2 linked regions of the Caenorhabditis elegans genome follow. The protein of the gene in region 1 purifies or fractionates together with the protein of each later gene. This does not show direct contact. Each region holds a gene or a part of one and is shown in the gene's direction. Other genes may lie near its edges.

Region 1 (8,630 bases):
TCAATTCCAGAAACTTTAGAAATTAAAAAGAAAACCTTTTGCTGTTCATCATCCAATCCGCTTTCAACAATATCAACAAGTGCTTTCAAATGTGGTAATACTGCACAACCCATCAAAATGGCCATTTGTTGAACAATTTTAATACCCGTGTGCCGAGCCTGCCAACTTTTTTTACTTTTGCACACAGCTTTAAGGAATGGGAGGAGAGCTGGAATTCCGAGAGCTGAGGCGACGACAGCGAATGCACGAGCGGTTGTATTACGGACATATCTGCAAATTTTTGGGTTTGATTAAAAGCTTTGTGATGTTTTTTCTGCTTTAAATTCATTAAAACTGACCCGCAAATACCGAATTTCATAGTGAGATTTTTAAAAATCTAAAAAATACATTTTTAAAACTTTTTTTGAAAAAATTCGGTCTTTTCGGACTTTTTTAAATTAAAAACTAGTGTAAACCTATAGAAAATCACTTGATTAATCTGAAATTAACATTAATTTCAGCTGGAACGTTTCAGAAAGTTCTCAAAAATGGCCAAAAGTTGCCAGATTTTCTATAGTTTCAAACTAATTTTTAATATTTCTTCAATTTTTTTACTGTTTTCCAGGGAAAATTGAACAACCATATATTTGGTGTTTGTTTAATTGAAAAATCAACAAAACTGTCGACAAACTTACTCATCAACATTATCAATATCAGGCCTCATTGTAGAAATCATTGTTGCCAATCCAGCGGCCTTTGCAAGGTTGGAAATGATCTCACGACCTGAAAATATTTAATTTTTAAATTTTAAAATTTATTCTAAATTTTCAAACCTTCAACTCTTGCATAATAATCCTCATCGATAAGAAGTGGCTCAATGACGACAAGAATCTTATGCACATATGGTCTGACGAGATCATCCAATTTGTATAGAATTCGATCAATAACTTTTACCATCAAATGCCGTTCTTGATCCTCCAGCGATGGTGACATGAGAAGTGGAAGAATTTGATTGAAAAGTGGACCTGCTCCGTACTTTCGCGCGTTTTCTGTTATTTTTCTCAATCCGCTCTTTCTCATTGGCGGGGTTCCATTTTTGATTTTCAATAAATGCTCCATAATTTCCCGTTCATTTTTCTCTTCTTTCGTGAGTTGACTCTCATCTACATCCATCAACAACTTATCGAAATATTGCATATCATCTGGCTTTAGAGGTGGTAATTCTGCATTCTTAGGTTGAGTATCCACCAGACCACCGACTCCTTTCTCTCCGATTCCATCTCTATCTGGTGTTCCAGGCATAAAGAATCCTCCACCAGCAGCTCCACCCATTGGAGTTGGAGTGGCCATCAACTTCCGTGATGGTGTTCTCAGAGGAATGTAGTTCATTGGAGGAACCAGAACCTTGTAGCCAGGTGGGAATAGTGAATCGAGTTCTTCATCAGTCAATGGACGGTTTCTGTCATCAATTTCCTTCTCCCATCGGTAAATTTGCATTTGTTCAGGTGTCATTGGAATCATATGAGGAGCTGGTGTTTTCATTCCCATTGCTGCCGTTCCAATTGGAGTTGCTCCACCTGAATATATTTTATATTAATTTTATATTAATTACAATATTTTGTAATAAACCTGGAGTCATTGCTCCGATTGGAGTCTGTGAAGGGTGGCTCGGTGTGAATGATGGTGTCTGTAATCCGGAATGAAGTGGAGTAGCTGCTGCCACATTCGGAGTTTGTGATGGTGTCAGATCCCATCGTGAACGACGCTTCGATGCGGATGGAGTATCCTCAATCTTAACATCATCTGATCCTCCTCTAGCAGGAGTCTCCATTCCCCATCCCGGTGTCATTGATCCATCATTGAGATTCTCTTTTGGAGTTTCATCCCAACGATTTCTTCTCGGGGTCTGTGCTGCCGGAGTCGTTGACCATTTATCCACAGAAGGAGTTGCATCAGCTGCTCCAGTCGAGTGAGCCGGTGTTTCATCCCATCTAGCAGCTCTTGGTGTTGCTGCATCTGCACTAATCTTCGAAAATCCTAATCTTTTTCGTGGAGCAGAACCCTGAGATGGAGTTGCAGAAGCTGCACCAAGATTATCAGAAGATGCATCAGTTGATGGAGCTTCAGCATCCCATCTTCCTTTCTTTTTCTCTGGCTGTCCAGTAACATGAAGCTCTCCAGCTTTTGCTCGATCGGCAAGCTCCCGTTCAACACGCCCTTTCTCTTCATGGTACATCTGATCACGCATAACTTCTGCGTAACCTCGATTCCGATTGTCAGGAGTTTGATCAACTGAAAGAATAAATTTAATTAAAGTCAAAATGATTTTCGATCTTACCAAAAGCATCCGCTCTGTCTGGAGAGATCTGTCTCCTCATAGCTCTTTCGTGATACTTGGATTGTCGTTCTGCGATGGTTTTTGTGCGAGTATCTGCGAATGGATCAGTGTCCTCGGAGGCAGCAGCCACCTCTTCGATGAATTTGTGTGGCTGTGCATAATTTGTACTTTTCTTTTGTACACTCGGCATCGAATCCTCATCGACGTCATCTTCTTCTCCGGTTCCAATCGAGTCTAGGTAACTATCCCGATTTTCACCACGAACACTTCCGTAAACATCCTGAAATTGAAAAGATTCAAAAAGTAATAGAGAATTTTCAAATTTTCAAATAAAGTATTAGAATTCACTAACCGTGTCGAAATTACCAGCGGCTCCGAAGGCCACTTTATTTCCGTTTCCCTTATTCTCATCGTTGTCTTCGGCTGCCGCGGCACGCTGGTTTGCGACCCTTTTGCGGTTCAACTCCTGCGCATAAGCCTCGCCTGAACGAGACATCGATCTACAATCAATATTGATTATATGGAAGAAAGATTAAAGTTGGAAGGAAAAAAACTTTTTTTAGAAAAGATTTAGAAAACAACATCCTAAACTTCGATAGCTTGCGCGAAACCATTTTCAAATTGTAATAAACAATTGCAAAAATTTATTAATGAAATCACTAAAAAGAAATGGAAACCATAATCCTTTTACAATGAACAATATTCAAAGAAATACACTCAAGAAACTAAAATATTAATACCCTTGAAAAATAATGGATTATCTTACGAATTTTTATGAACATCAGACAGACAACAATATTTAAAGTTTTTCTGTTGTTTTTTTTTAAATAATTTAAAAGTTTTTAAACGTAAAATAACTGAAAACTGTCCCTTAAAAGGCGAAAATTGCATTCGAAATTTTGCACGAGAATCGCGTCAATGCACCGGTCGCGCGCCAACAGCACCTGCTGGCGCGCTCTCCGATCAGTGGAGGAAGATCGAAGATTGTGTTCACTTCAAGAGTTTTGACATTTCATTTGGAATATGGTGAGTTGCTCGTTTTAGTAGGTCTTTTCTGTTTTTTGTTGTTTTTTAGTGTTTCTTTCGACGTATATCGACTTTATAAGCAAATTTCCAATAAAATTGTGAACTTTTTTAAAAATTAATTTTTTTTCACCAACATTGTGGCCACTTTAAAATTGAAGCATAACTAAAATGTTCTTATTTTTAAATTTTTATTTAAAATAAAAGCTTTCTTATTTTTTTAAGTGGTTTTATCATGTTTTTGCTTTCTCGTTCTTATAGAGAGAGAGAGAGAGAGAAGAGACGCAGAATACTGGGGCAGCATATAGCATGTGTGTTGTTTAGATGTCTCCTTGCCCCTACAACCCTTTTCTATCGATTTCCCCGTTTTTTTCGGTCTGCCACGTGCTTCTTTTTCAGTTCATGCCTTTTCTCCTTTTATGAGATTCTTTTTTCCCCAACAAAATCTTATCGAAAATTTCAGGGTAAAGTCTGAAAATGGCTCCGAACAAGGCTGCCGCTGAAGAGTATCCAGTGGATATTGTGGATTTAAGTGATGATTTTAAGAGTAGCAAGACTCTTGATTTGGTCCTAGACGAGGAGCACAAAGTCTACAGATATTGGATTCATTTGAAGTGTATGAAATGGTCAGTTTTACTTCTAAACGATAAATTGTTCACTTTTCTGGAAAAAACGCTGAATTTTGGCTTTATGGTTAAAAAAAAACATAATTTTTAAGAAGTTGAAACTACAGTACTCTTTATTGTCGTTTCGAGAAACCGTATTTTTGCACGGAAATCGATCAACGTTGCTTCTGAGAAATAATATAATCCCATAACAAAACTGAATTGTCAGGCAAATTGAGTTGCGTGCAAATTCCTTCGAATGCTTTGCTGCTTACTTCAAAACTCCAGCCACCTGGTCAGCGGAAGTTGAATTCGAAATTCGGGCTCACGTTACAAACTCTGTGAGAAGCGAAAAGTTTACTGGACGATATACAGGATCCAATCATGTCTACTTTCGTCCATTGAAGCTTCAAGATCATATGGTTCGAGAGAAGCTGAGAAGTATGAGAGTAGAAATCACAGTGAATGTCATTAAAACTATGAACTTCGGAATGCTCTACGACTATTTTGATGTTCTACCAGAAGAAGAGAATGCTTTGTTGAAAGTTGAAGATCGTCTTATTCGTGTGAATAAAAGATATCTGTCAATGATGTCTCCATTCTTTAAAGCATTATTCTATGGAGAATTGGGTGAAGATAAAGAAATCTATGAGATGAAAGAGAAGTTCCGTGAGATTATAACTTTCCTCAGATGTATTTATCCACACAGACAACCTGTTACAAGTATGTTCCACAATTTTGAGAATCGAATTATTATCAAATTTGCAGAGAAAAGCCTCGACTATCTTCTCCAACTCGCAGATCGTTATCAATGTCAACCAATTGTGGATGCGTGTGAGATGTTCATGTGTGCACATTATCATGAATATCAGAAGAAGACGGAGAAATGTTTCTCTTACGTGGAAAAGTATAAGATGCAAAGAGTTTTGGTACGTTCAAACGTGGACTTGTGGGGAATTTACTATGAATTGCTCCCGGTATCTACAACAAGCGTGGGCGGCAAATCTTCTGCAAAACTTACAAAACTGTTTGTTTCAATGTTATAATTCATTATATTGAATGAATGAAAAACTGGTATAGAAATGAAGAAAATGGGTTGTACCATCGGAAAAAATATTAATTTGAGTTTAAAATTTTGAAAAACACCTCAACTAGTACTCGAAAGCTATCATTTGCCAAAAACTTTTTAACTGGAAACGGCAACTTTAACGCAGTATTTGAAGTGCTTTTCAAATAGTTTAGAGCAAAAATAAACATTATTTTCAGATTGAACGAATAGTTTTCTACATTTCTATATTCATTTTATATCAAATCAAAAAGTTGGATTTTCATATTAAAAGGAGGGGGGGGGGCAACTTTGTAAATTTGCCAAAAATGTTTCAGCCAAATTAGTAAACTAATTTAATAACCAAACTTAAATTAGATCTCATCCAATATATATAAGTACATCAAATTAAGATAACCATAAGTGATAGCCCATTTACTTTTGTTGCATATTCCCGTCTTGATATCTTAAATTTTTCAGCGAATTATTGTCGAATACGTGGCAGTAACCCAATCACCAGCTCAATTCCGTCTTCAATCATACTATCGAGATCTTTCTGAGAAGACACAACTTGCTGTTTTGGATTACATGGCAAAGAATCAAAGTCGACGTGGAAAAGAGTTGGAACGTCGTCGTGGAGTAAATTCTCATCGAGCAAACATCGATCCAATCGACGATCAGGATCCACCAAATGGACGTCTTCTTGGAATTGCTGATCCATTGAGAAATGCGGATCCACGTCCACCACAGCCTGGCTACAATGTTCCAAGATATGGAAATTTCCGGCCACTTGTATTCGGCCATCATTAGTATTTTATCATAAGCTTTACCCCCATTTCCATGACTAGAAATCTCAATTGAATTACATTAATTTGAAATCAAGCACATACACTCGAAAATATCATTCCCTGTCCATTTTATAGTTTTCTTTTTCACTTCATTTATTTCCAAAAATGATGCATCTTTCGAAGTATTTTTAATAATTCAAATTTAGTGATACATTTGTATGTAACATTTACGCTTTTCATCTTTTAATCTTTCATAATAAATGCTCAATAATCTATAAACTCTAGAAGAATATGTGAAGGATTTTATATGGTCTCAGCGGTTTGTAAAAATGTTTTCTACAAGAAAACTATTGAACCAATATCCACGGTAGGCAAAAACGTAAGCCTGAAAATTTGCCTACAATAGAAGGTTCAAGCGATAGACTAACGTATTTCCTGAAAGTTAAATATTTTCCGAATCATTTCGAATAATTCCCCCACTGTTTCCCGATAGCACCCGATATTCGCCAAAATTATGAATAACTTGGTTTCCACAAAAAACGAAGACTTTCCCAAAAATAAAAACGGCCCAATATCCCTAGTTTTTACTCATTCTCGAACCGAAATGCCACCGGAAATATAACTTTAGTTATATTCACTTTTTCTTGAGTCCCTGACAGTATTACATATGTCTAATTATCGTGGCAATTGGCAGATTCGTCGTCACACGTCATCAAATCTCGCCTGCTTTCTTTTGTGCACTGTACACTAGATTTATGACATGACGTCATCTGATGGAGGTCTGTTTGTTATTGAGCTATGGTCATTTTGTGTGTAGATTGCTCAGTTGCTCATTAATCCAAATCGTCTTTGTCGTTGCCAAATCCCACCTGAAGCGACCCGTGATGTGCACGTGACGGAGCACAGGAACAATTTGAATGCATGTTACTGGGTGGTTCTCTTCAGCTTTTGCTGGTGTTTTTAATTGTTAATTGGAAAAATACGAACACTGAAAAATTGCATTATTTTTTTAGAAACAGAGAATTTCATAGAATTGAAGAGGTTTGAACTTGCCATATGCTTCAGAAAAAAAGAAGTTTCGATCAAAACCTTTAAAAATCAGTTCTTTTGAATATGAAGGGTGTAAATATTTTGGATGTTTTTCTATTGGATTCTTATTGAACTCATACCTACTGATTGATTTCAAATTAGGAAAAACTTGTAAAAACCGGAGAATCTAGCATTTCAGCTTCGTCGACAACTATGTTCTGTTAAGTCTTTTAAAACTTGTAAAAACACTTCTAATTTTTTTTCAGAACTCAAAATGAACATTATGCTCGATCGTAAAGTTAAAAATAACTTTTTTATAAATCAAAATTGCTATCCGACTCCAGGGCTCTCTTGTCTCCTACGACGGTGTGGTGGGAGGTAGTTTGGAGCACTCCCTTTGATTTCAAAAAAATCCACGTGGGCCATTTTTGTCTTACATTATAAAGATCCCAATATCTAAAGTTCGTCAACTATTTTATAGCGAAATCAATCTAGACCGAAATAAGAAATATTCCAATATTCAAGTCGAAATTTATGATTTTTGATAGACTTGGCCTTTGTTAAATAGTTTTCAATGAGAAAACACACTGATGAACACTAGTCACTTCATTCATAATTTTAATAAAAAAGCATACAAGTCAGTTAACATTCAGCCATCATTTTCTTATCTGACTTCTTTTGCACATGAATACCATATGTTGTTGCCTACAGGTCCATCTCATGCTGACACACGTTCACGACTGCCTACGTGCCCACCAATGTTCCTACTTTTCACACACCCACCTGCTTACAGATCATCATCATGCCTATCTACATTCTTACTTCATGTCTACCGAATGCATGCCTCACCCCTGCTTGCTTGCATGCATACCTCTTACCTGCCACCTTACAACATTAAATTATTTTTTATGAGAAATCTTTTTTTTTAAATTTATTGTAGTTGTCGCATCCCCAATTAAATATACAATCAAACTGTGGAAACGAATTTATCAGCGATCCTTGGTGGGAAAATTCCCGTAAAAGAACTGGAAATATTTGAAGTTTTTCACTTTTGTTTACCTCACTTGAAAACTGGAAAAAAGTGAGACGTGTGAAAAAAAACCAATGCCCTCAAAAGTCAATTGGAAATTTAGTTTGCTTGTGAGTTTTGTAACCTGTTTTATTTATTTTGTAATAAATGACTAGCCCATTCAGCCATGACTGCGGTAGATTTTTTTATCGTTAAAAAAAATATATAAAATGTAGGTTTTGGAATGGGCTGCTGAGAAATTATCAATCACGTGGTCACTTTTTTTTCAAAGTTCAGAAAAGTTTGCTCAAAAACCACCTCCCCCTAATCCAAACTTCCGACCCCTGTAATCTAGAGACTCATTTGACTACAATTTAGAGAAGGAACACCTGTACAAATTCATATGTTGTTCACGTGAAAAGGATCTTATCTACAAGGCACCCTTCTTCTCCTTCTTCCCACCACTTGGTGCCGTTTCCTCCCGTTGCACACCTCGGGAATTTCGTTGACACGACGTTGTCTGTGTCTCCGTGCCACTGCATACTATTTCACTCGGAATTCTTTTGATCCTATCAAGTGGTGGTGTGGTTTGTTGGTGTGAGAGCGATTGGTGGTAGTGGTGGGGTGGTAATGTAGCATTCCCCATTCATACATAGATCTGTCATTTTCTGGTGACATCAGGTACATGAAAAGAATCTTAATCTTGTTGTTTGGTCAATTAGATCGGTTACAGTAATCCATTTTGAGCAGCTAATGGTGGAAAACTGGGAAAAGGTGAAAACAGCCCGCACAGTAGAGAACGGATTACCTGTCA
Region 2 (8,309 bases), on another chromosome or scaffold:
GCGCAGCTGCTCCCGGGATTCCAACTCAACTTGCTCCAGTCCCTGTTTGGAGAACAACGTCAAAAATTTGATTTTTACGACAAACTGGATGAAACCAAGATTGTCGGCGGCTCCGACTCGCCATCTCCAGCCGATGATGAGATTCATAGCAATTCAGATGAAACTATTCAAGATACTTTGTTTTCCATCAATATTAAACCAGAACCGGAAATTGTAAGTTACGTTTGACTGTTTGTGCCATAGTTAGGTTGATTAGCGTTGCTCGTGCTGAAAAGCTTTGAAAAATCACGCTAAAAACGGATTTTCGGCTATTTCGATTCTGATTCACATTAAAGATAACATCTCCCAAATTGCTAAATATTACCGATAAGGTTATAAAGACCTAACACTACGGCCGAAAATCTGAATTTATTCCAAACTGTCAGCGTCGGCTGAGCGCCAATTAAAAATATTTTTCGACACAATTATGGTCCACCTTTAAAAATTATTCATCCCAAAACAAGCAACATTTCCTACAGGATTCAATTGCATCCTCCCCGGATATGGCAAACTCAATGCGCGAATCATTGTCCTCGACCTCCCCAAAGCTTCTCAGCGGGCTCGACCTCGGAGCATTCAGCACCCACTCATCATCCACCAACTCCATGCAAAACGCCAACTCATCAGGTACAACAAAGAGCTTTAAAACAGACAGGCTAACGGAAAAGAGAGGGAGATGGGTTGAACCAAGAACTCATAAATTAGAAGCGAGCACACACACACAAACACACATAGACATACACAAAGTGCGCGAAGACACATAACAAAGGGAGAAATGTGGGGCGTCGAATTTCGCACAGACAACCATTACGATCACTGAGATCTGAGGAAAAAAAAATGAGGCTAGGTATTGTGTTTACAGAAATAAAACAGAAAATCAACTGCAAACTTGATTTTGAGAAATATTCTAGGGATTTTGTACTGGCTCAAACTTATCGAGAAGGTGGCCATGTTCATGATACTCAGTCTGAAAACCTATATTGGTTGCTATCTCTAAAACGCTCTTAGATTGCGTTTGCTATGCATATGAAAAATGACTGCATAAAAATTCTCTATCTTTTCGACAAGAAAACTTTAAGGTGGAATTTTACTTCTATTTTTCGATAAAATCACTGACGCGGAACGTTTGAAAAAATTCAACGATAAAGCAAATAATCTCCGTTTTAGTGTTTTCAGCGGCTCGCTCACGCCTGATGTTCGACCCACTCACCGAGCTACCCGTCCTCGAAAAATGGTTCGAAGAGAATCCTCACCCGACATGGATGCAAATCGATCAGTACACACAATGCTTGAACAACTGCGCTTATCGAGAGAATTATCCGCATATTAGTCAGCACAATGTGAAGGTAATATTCTATATTAATACTGATTACTAGTTATCGAATTCGAATTGCAGATCTGGTTCAAAAATCGACGTGCAAAATGCAAGCGATTGTTGAATGGAATGCAGGAAAAGCTTGAGCAGAAGGTTTTCGTATAAAATTAAAATTTCCAACTTTTTTCAAAATCTTATTATCTTTAATTTCGAAAGAACATTAAGTTTTTCACATCAATAGTTCCTTCTTTAACCGTCATACTGGTGTACCCCTTGAATTCCTGATCTTCAGTGCCCCACAATTTCTCTTCAACGAAGAGCAAAATCACTACTTCATTTTTCATTCCAGCTGTGATTTTTGTCTGTAAGCTACACCTAATCGCTAGCTGTATATCTCGACGCATCTTTCGTTCTGCAAAACTTCTAGTCGCTTCTTGTCTTGTTTAACCTTGATGGGAAATTAAGCCGGCTTTAATTTCCTTCTTTCTTTCAATCAACAATTTCCCATCGCTTTCTTTGTCTCTTTCAATGTTCCACAGATCACATAGTTTTAATGGTTTTTCAATGTTTCCCTTCTTACCGTCACACTACTTTCCAATATTATTCATCTTAATTTTATGTCTACCACTTCCAATATCAATCTTGCCCACCGTTTTCTCAATTTTTTTTGTCAAATTTAAACTTTTCTCTGCTTTTCAGTTGTGCTTCAGCCCTTTATATGCCAAAAACTTTTATTCAGAATTTTGACATACAACCACGTTTATTTCTTTTTATTTGAATGTTTTGAGAAATAAAGTTTTTTTTTTCAGAAAAAAAATTTTACAAAAAATGGTCAATTTTTTATTTAAAAAATTGGCACACAAAAATAAAAACAGACATGATTGTAGGAGAAAATTTTCAGACTTTTCAAGAAATTATAACTTTTAAAAAGCTATTTTTGGAGAAAAAAGCTCCCTATTTTAACAATAAAGTTTTGAGCCATTTCACGCGTGCACCAAAAAAAATGTCTGAGAAAAATGTCAGGGGTACGAGTTGAGTTTTCCTTTTCAAATTTTTTGTAAAAAAATATTCAGAACACTATCTAGAGCGACAAAAAACTTGGTTGGTGAAAACTCGTTCTAAAATCTGGCACTGAAGTTACTTCCTTCCGCTAACAACTTGTCAGGTGCAATCTAAGTTTCGACTAAAAAAAACAATTATTATTTCAAAGCTGGATAATTTATTCGAATTTTCGAAATATTGCAGAACTGAAAAGAAAAGAAGTTTTCCATAAACTTGGATTGTCAGTCAAATCTTGCAAGGACGTACACGTTGTAGGTTTGCCTTGGAAGAGGTCGTCCACTTCAACATGCAGTCCAGTTATACTCACTAGGAAAGTAATTTAACTCACTTTCAGACTTTCAAATTGAATTTATAAGAACTTAAAGCGGGTTTTCATCAAAAAATAACAATGGAATATAAAGAAGTCGATTTGATATTCTCCGAGCACGTTTTCACTGCTTTTGTAACGTTTGCAACTATTACAAATGAGGAAGTTTGCAATTTTGTAATGCTTTTAATAAAGTCTAAAAATAGGCAAAACAATTTAATAAATTTTTTTTTTTAAATATTTCAGAATTTTTGTTCAGCCTAAAACGTCTTAACAATTGCCTCAAAATCTTTTTAAAGCAGTTTTATTTATACTTTTGCGGAAACTTTGCAATAATCCTATAAATAGCATAAATAAACATTTTTTAAAGTGAAAACAAAGTTTCATTGGTGGTTTAAAAAATTTATAAAGCTTTATAGAACGTTGCCAGTGTAATACAACTGTTAAAACATAACTCACTTGAATAAATCACATGAAAAATTGTTTGATTAATAAAAAAACTTGTAAGTAACAAAAAACCTGCAAGTTCTCGACTGTAAAAACAACAGCTGGAAGCAAAGTGGAACGCTTAACCATTTTTATTTCTGTTTCCCACTGTCTTTTCCAGAAGTTCCTGAAATGTAAACATTTTAAACTGAATTTTCACAACACATCAACCTCTGCTCTATTCGAATTCTAGATGAGAACAACTTGCCAATGGAAGAGTATAATCGCATTATCAGTGACAACTAATTTAAGAGCCTCAATTGGATAAACTAACTTTTTCAAACAAAAAAAACCTGATAACAATTTTATTTAGTTTTATTTAATTATTACATTAAGAAATATCTTCTAAATAAAGACGATTTTTCAGTAAAATGCTCAAATTTGTAATTACAAGTATTCTACTACTGCGGGTCTGTAGTGGAGTAAGTATTCCCAATAAAAGTCAACACGGCGAACTAACGAAAAGCTGTAAGTTTAAGTAAAAAACACGTAAAATTGAAAATATTGGCAAAAGTTTGACATATTGAAAAAACACAGCAGGCTTACTTAAAAATGTTTACATCATAAGTTCTGGTCCGAGTCACAACTACACGAAAGGTATTGAGCTCACTTTTGTGCTTCTAGCGGGAATTTTTATTTGATGAATTAAATAACCAACTAAGAACAATTTTTTCAAGAGTGAATTTGGTGGAAACGCCAGTGGATTCTCTTTCTGGCTAGGCCAAGCCAACACATTTAATAGAACCTCTTCAAATCTTTACAGAAAACGTTTTTTGACCAGTTTTAGCCAGAGGGATTAAATTTCAGTGAATTCGAAACTCAAACAACTTGTTGCACTAAATCTATCGGAACCTTCTCAACGGGTTCAACCTACCTTCTCTTCAAGACCGAAACTGTTGGATCAAACCTCTCCAGTGACATGCTACAATAAGTCAATTGATATACTGCCTCATGACGGTACTGCAAAATTTGGTGATTTAGTGGAGAGTGATTTCAGGTATACATTTTTAGTAGGGAATATTGTAGAAAATCGTGGAGTGCTCGGAGATTGCTAACCAGCAGTTCTAAAAATTGAGCCTGTGGGACATTTTCACTCAGTGTTTTCATTAAAATTTAGGAATAGAATCTGGAAAATGTTAATTCTAGTTAAAGGTGGAGTGGCGCCAGTGGGGAAATTTCTTTAAAACACGCCTATGGTACCAAAATGACCGAATATCATGATAAAAAAATGCAAAAATTTTTTCTAATTTTAAAATTTGAAAATTGAAAAAATCTCAGTTTTTGCCTAATTCCGATTTGAGTTTACGCCAATTGGATTTGTTCGATGGAGCGCACTTGCACGTTTTAATTTTAATTTATTGTTATTTTGTCATATTTTTCACCAATTTTCCATGTTTTCAATGTAGTTTTGTCTGAAATTTGACGAAAAAGTCAAAATAAATGCTAATTTTTGATTAAAAAGCTAATTCACAAGCGTGAGTCTGTGAAATCTGTAAATTCAAGTTCGAAATCGTTTAAATGCATGCATTTTCTTTCAAAATAACAATAAATTAAAATTAAAACGTGCAAGTGCGCTCCATCGAACAACTTCAATAGGCGGAAATTCAAATCGGAATTAGGCAAAAACTGAGATTTTTTTCAATTTTCAAAAAATCATATAAAATTTAGAAATTTTTTTTGAATTTTTTAATCATGATATTCGGTTATTTTGGTACCATAGGCGTGTTTTAAAGTACTCGAAAAAAAATACTCGAAAATTGTCAAAAACGTGAAACTTGTTGTTGATAGTAAAATTGCCATTTTTCATTTTTCCGGTTTCTATTTGCGATTTAATAATAATCTAAAACTCTATCTGGATTTTCATTACGTTATTCGAGAACCAATACCAGATTAATAACATGTTTCATAATACATACACATATCTTCAGTGCGACTTGCTCCGACACTTTCACTTTTTACGTCGACAATTTTATCGAAGAGTTCTTTGTAATTATCAATACACTCGACGCCCTCAATCCGCGGGCAACAGTTTATAATCCGATTGGAGGCGAAGTGTCCACATGCAAAGATATCACCACGGACGTCACTCAAACAATTCACCTTATCTGCAACGGAAAGAATGTTCACGGAACTGGAGCGTATACGGTTCAGCTCTCTGCAGATTTGAACAAGTGAGCACACAATTAAAACAAGATGACCCAAATTGTGAAAAAAAAATCAAAAAAAGACTCTTGAAATCTTATCTCATTTAAAAATAAAATCATTCAGACCGTGTATATTTGAAGTCCGAGCTCCAACAAAGCTGACAGTTGATGGTGGGTTTGTAGAGGATGTTCGTGACGATGACGTTCAGAAAGTAATATTTTCCACTGCAAATCAAGGAATATTCCGTTTCCCACTTGAAAATCAGGCAGCATTTTTAGCATTTAAAGTCGAGAGTGAAGAATTTCCAATTCATCCCGATGAGGTGCATCTTTATGTAAACGGCCTATTCGATCAGAAAATGGATTTGAACTTGAGGTGAATGTTTGAGAGTGATAAAAATTTGGAATTGAGTAATTTTTTTCTACATTATTCAATAGAATCAATTTTTCTACATTATTCAATTTTGGATGATCCAAAAAAATTGAAGGAAAGTAAACTTTTTTCTGTTGAAAAAAATACATGTTTATATTGCAGAAGCATTTTTTAATTCAAAAATAAAGCCTGAACATTTAGATTTAACAAAGATGAATCATGAACATAATTGCTTTGGCAGAAAAACCATTTTTCAGATACGGCTGCAGTACCCCTCATATCACTCAACAATCTTATAACTGTACGTCTCAAAACTTGTATCATGCCAAGTTCAGAGGTATTTCTCCTTTCTATTTTCTCCCTTCTCTCATTGTCGGTTTCTAGGATACGATAGTGATGGAAACAGGTTCCAGAGAATCTACGACTTTAGCTGTGACCTAAGTGAAATTACATTCACAACACCTTCCGTGCACGTTTCGACGACGCCAGCAAGGTTTTGTGAAAATGGAGGAATTCTGTATAATGAAACGGTACGTAGGTGGCTTTATTTTCAGGTGGACTGGGGCTGCCCGGCAAAAAAATTTTTTTAACTGGACTATATTTCGAAGGACAATCTTGGTATAATTTTCTATTTTGGTAAATAATTCTAGTAGTTGGTTTTTAGAGTTGGTTTTTAAAAAGTGTTCCAAATTAAAAAAAAAAAGAAATTTGCCAGATTTGAAAAGCTGAAGTATTTTGATTTGCATGTGAAATTGCAATTTAAAAAAAAGTGCAGAAACAGAACACAATTTGGAATGTTCGAAAATTTATAAAAAAGACAGAGAAAGGCAGAATTAAGCCTTGTAAGCTGCACGAGATGGGCATGGACAATATCCAGCATCTGGTCCTGGTGCGGCATCCTCTCCCTTTTGTCCTGGAACTCCATTCTTTCCTGGATGCCCTGGTGGTCCTGGTCTTCCGGCGTTTCCGTTCTTTCCAGCCTCTCCATCGTTTCCTGGTGCTCCTGGATTTCCGGCTGGTCCGGTTTCTCCGCGTGGTCCTTGTGGTCCTGGACGTCCTGGCTGTCCTGGCTTGTACTCGGTTCCTGGTTCTCCACGTGGTCCTGCTGGTCCTGGACGTCCGGCGGCTCCTGGTCTTCCTGCATCTCCCTGTGGTCCTTGCTCTCCTGGTCCTCCAACTGGTCCTGGTGGTCCGCGTCTTCCGTTTCCTCCGGCTGGTCCAGCAGATCCTGGAAGTCCTGATGGTCCTTTTGGTCCTGGACGTCCTGGTGGGCACTTGATGCATCCTCCTGGAATATCGTGGGTGATGGCAACAATAACTCCAGGAGCTCCTGGCTTTCCATCGTCTCCATCGTGTCCTGGATTTCCCTTCTGTCCACCCTCTCCTGGTGGTCCTGGTGGTCCAGCTGGGCAACCCTCGGATTTTGGTCCGCAGTTACATTGCTCGAATCCAGCTTGACGAGCGGTACGGGCTCCGAAGAGAGTCTCAAAGGTTGGTGGAGCATTTGTGTGTCCGGTTGGGTTGATGTGCTTGCTCACCATACGAGCCCAGGTGTCTTGGGTGATAGCCTGAACACAAAGTGAATTGATAACAACACTAACTTCCTTTATGTAAAACTTACTCTAAATTCAACCATACCATCCTGGAACTCAACTTGAAGCTCCTCGATCTCATTGAGAAGGTTTCCGATGGTGTAAAGCGAGGCAAGAACGCACACAAGTACTCCGCAGGATCCAACCACAATGAGCTTGCCCATGTTGATGAACTGATGTCTTTCTAAATGGTGACCGTTTCCTTTTATACTGAAAGTTGCTGAGAAAGCGAAAGTTACACCTTCAAACCTAACCAGTGTAATCTAACCAATTTCATTTTTCTGCCAGGAAAAAAAATGCGTTTTTCATTTGATAGATAATGTGTTTCCAAGAGAGATGGACAATGAAATTTAAGGAGAAATTTCTTCTATCTGTTTTTTTTTCTGGTTGGGGAAATCGGAATTTTTTTGAAAATAAAGACAAAGCGAGTGTTTTTCAACGAATAATGTTCAAAAATGAAGTTCAATAACTAATCTCAAAAATTTTCTTTCGAGAAAAAACTATGAATTATCTGGAGTTTTATTGTTTTTCAAAAATTATATACTCCTTACTTCAAGGATTTGGGCAAATACTAAAATATTACCTAGCTGGGATACTAAAAGAGAAAGGCATAAGTTTGGTTTTAAAATTTATTTCCAAATATTTCTATCCTATAATACAAAAATTTTTGAAACTAACCATATTGGTTCAGAAAGCACGTCAATTTTGAACAAAGGTATTGTATGCTTACTGTTGTTTAGAACACACTAAATTTCGAGTTTTTAGAGAGAAAATGCGTTAAATTTTCGAAAAAAAAAATTAAATAATACATTGGTGCAAATTTTCAAATGCTAAATACGAATTTATTTTATTATGAATTCAAATAATTTTCATCAGTTTCCCAATAAAAAAACCTATGAGAAAGTATTAGATGTAGCGCGGTAAGTTTTCTGAAATTTGTCTACTTTCTCTGGAATTTTTAATTTTTTGGGAATAAGTTTACATTTCCTAA

The links.
Region 2: the proteins of R10E4.1 (region 1) and hrg-11.4 fractionate together in Caenorhabditis elegans (co-fractionation; one large-scale study listed by BioGRID). This does not show direct contact.

What each region holds. Positions count from the first base shown.
Region 1 is NC_003281.10:4,266,454-4,275,083, forward strand, and holds R10E4.1 (BTB domain-containing protein), read left to right. Parts: upstream 1-3,803; 5' UTR 3,804-3,817; coding exon 3,818-3,966; intron 3,967-4,174; coding exon 4,175-4,668; intron 4,669-4,713; coding exon 4,714-4,874; intron 4,875-5,470; coding exon 5,471-5,800; 3' UTR 5,801-6,050; downstream 6,051-8,630. Other genes in the region: sftb-1 (Splicing factor 3B subunit 1 domain-containing protein), read right to left, coding at 36-270, 675-762, 813-1,556, 1,609-2,271, 2,318-2,597, 2,670-2,813.
Region 2 is NC_003284.9:420,897-429,205, reverse strand, and holds the start of hrg-11.4 (VWFA domain-containing protein), read left to right. Parts: upstream 1-3,570; 5' UTR 3,571-3,580; coding exon 3,581-3,677; intron 3,678-4,016; coding exon 4,017-4,206; intron 4,207-5,137; coding exon 5,138-5,380; intron 5,381-5,477; coding exon 5,478-5,729; intron 5,730-5,983; coding exon 5,984-6,063; intron 6,064-6,110; coding exon 6,111-6,256; intron 6,257-6,514; exon of another isoform or gene 6,515-6,559; coding exon of another isoform or gene 6,560-7,294; intron 7,295-7,347; coding exon of another isoform or gene 7,348-7,482; exon of another isoform or gene 7,483-7,499; intron 7,500-8,309. Other genes in the region: Homeobox protein dve-1, read left to right, coding at 1-213, 519-666, 1,207-1,385, 1,436-1,519; col-19 (Cuticle collagen 19), read right to left, coding at 6,560-7,294, 7,348-7,482.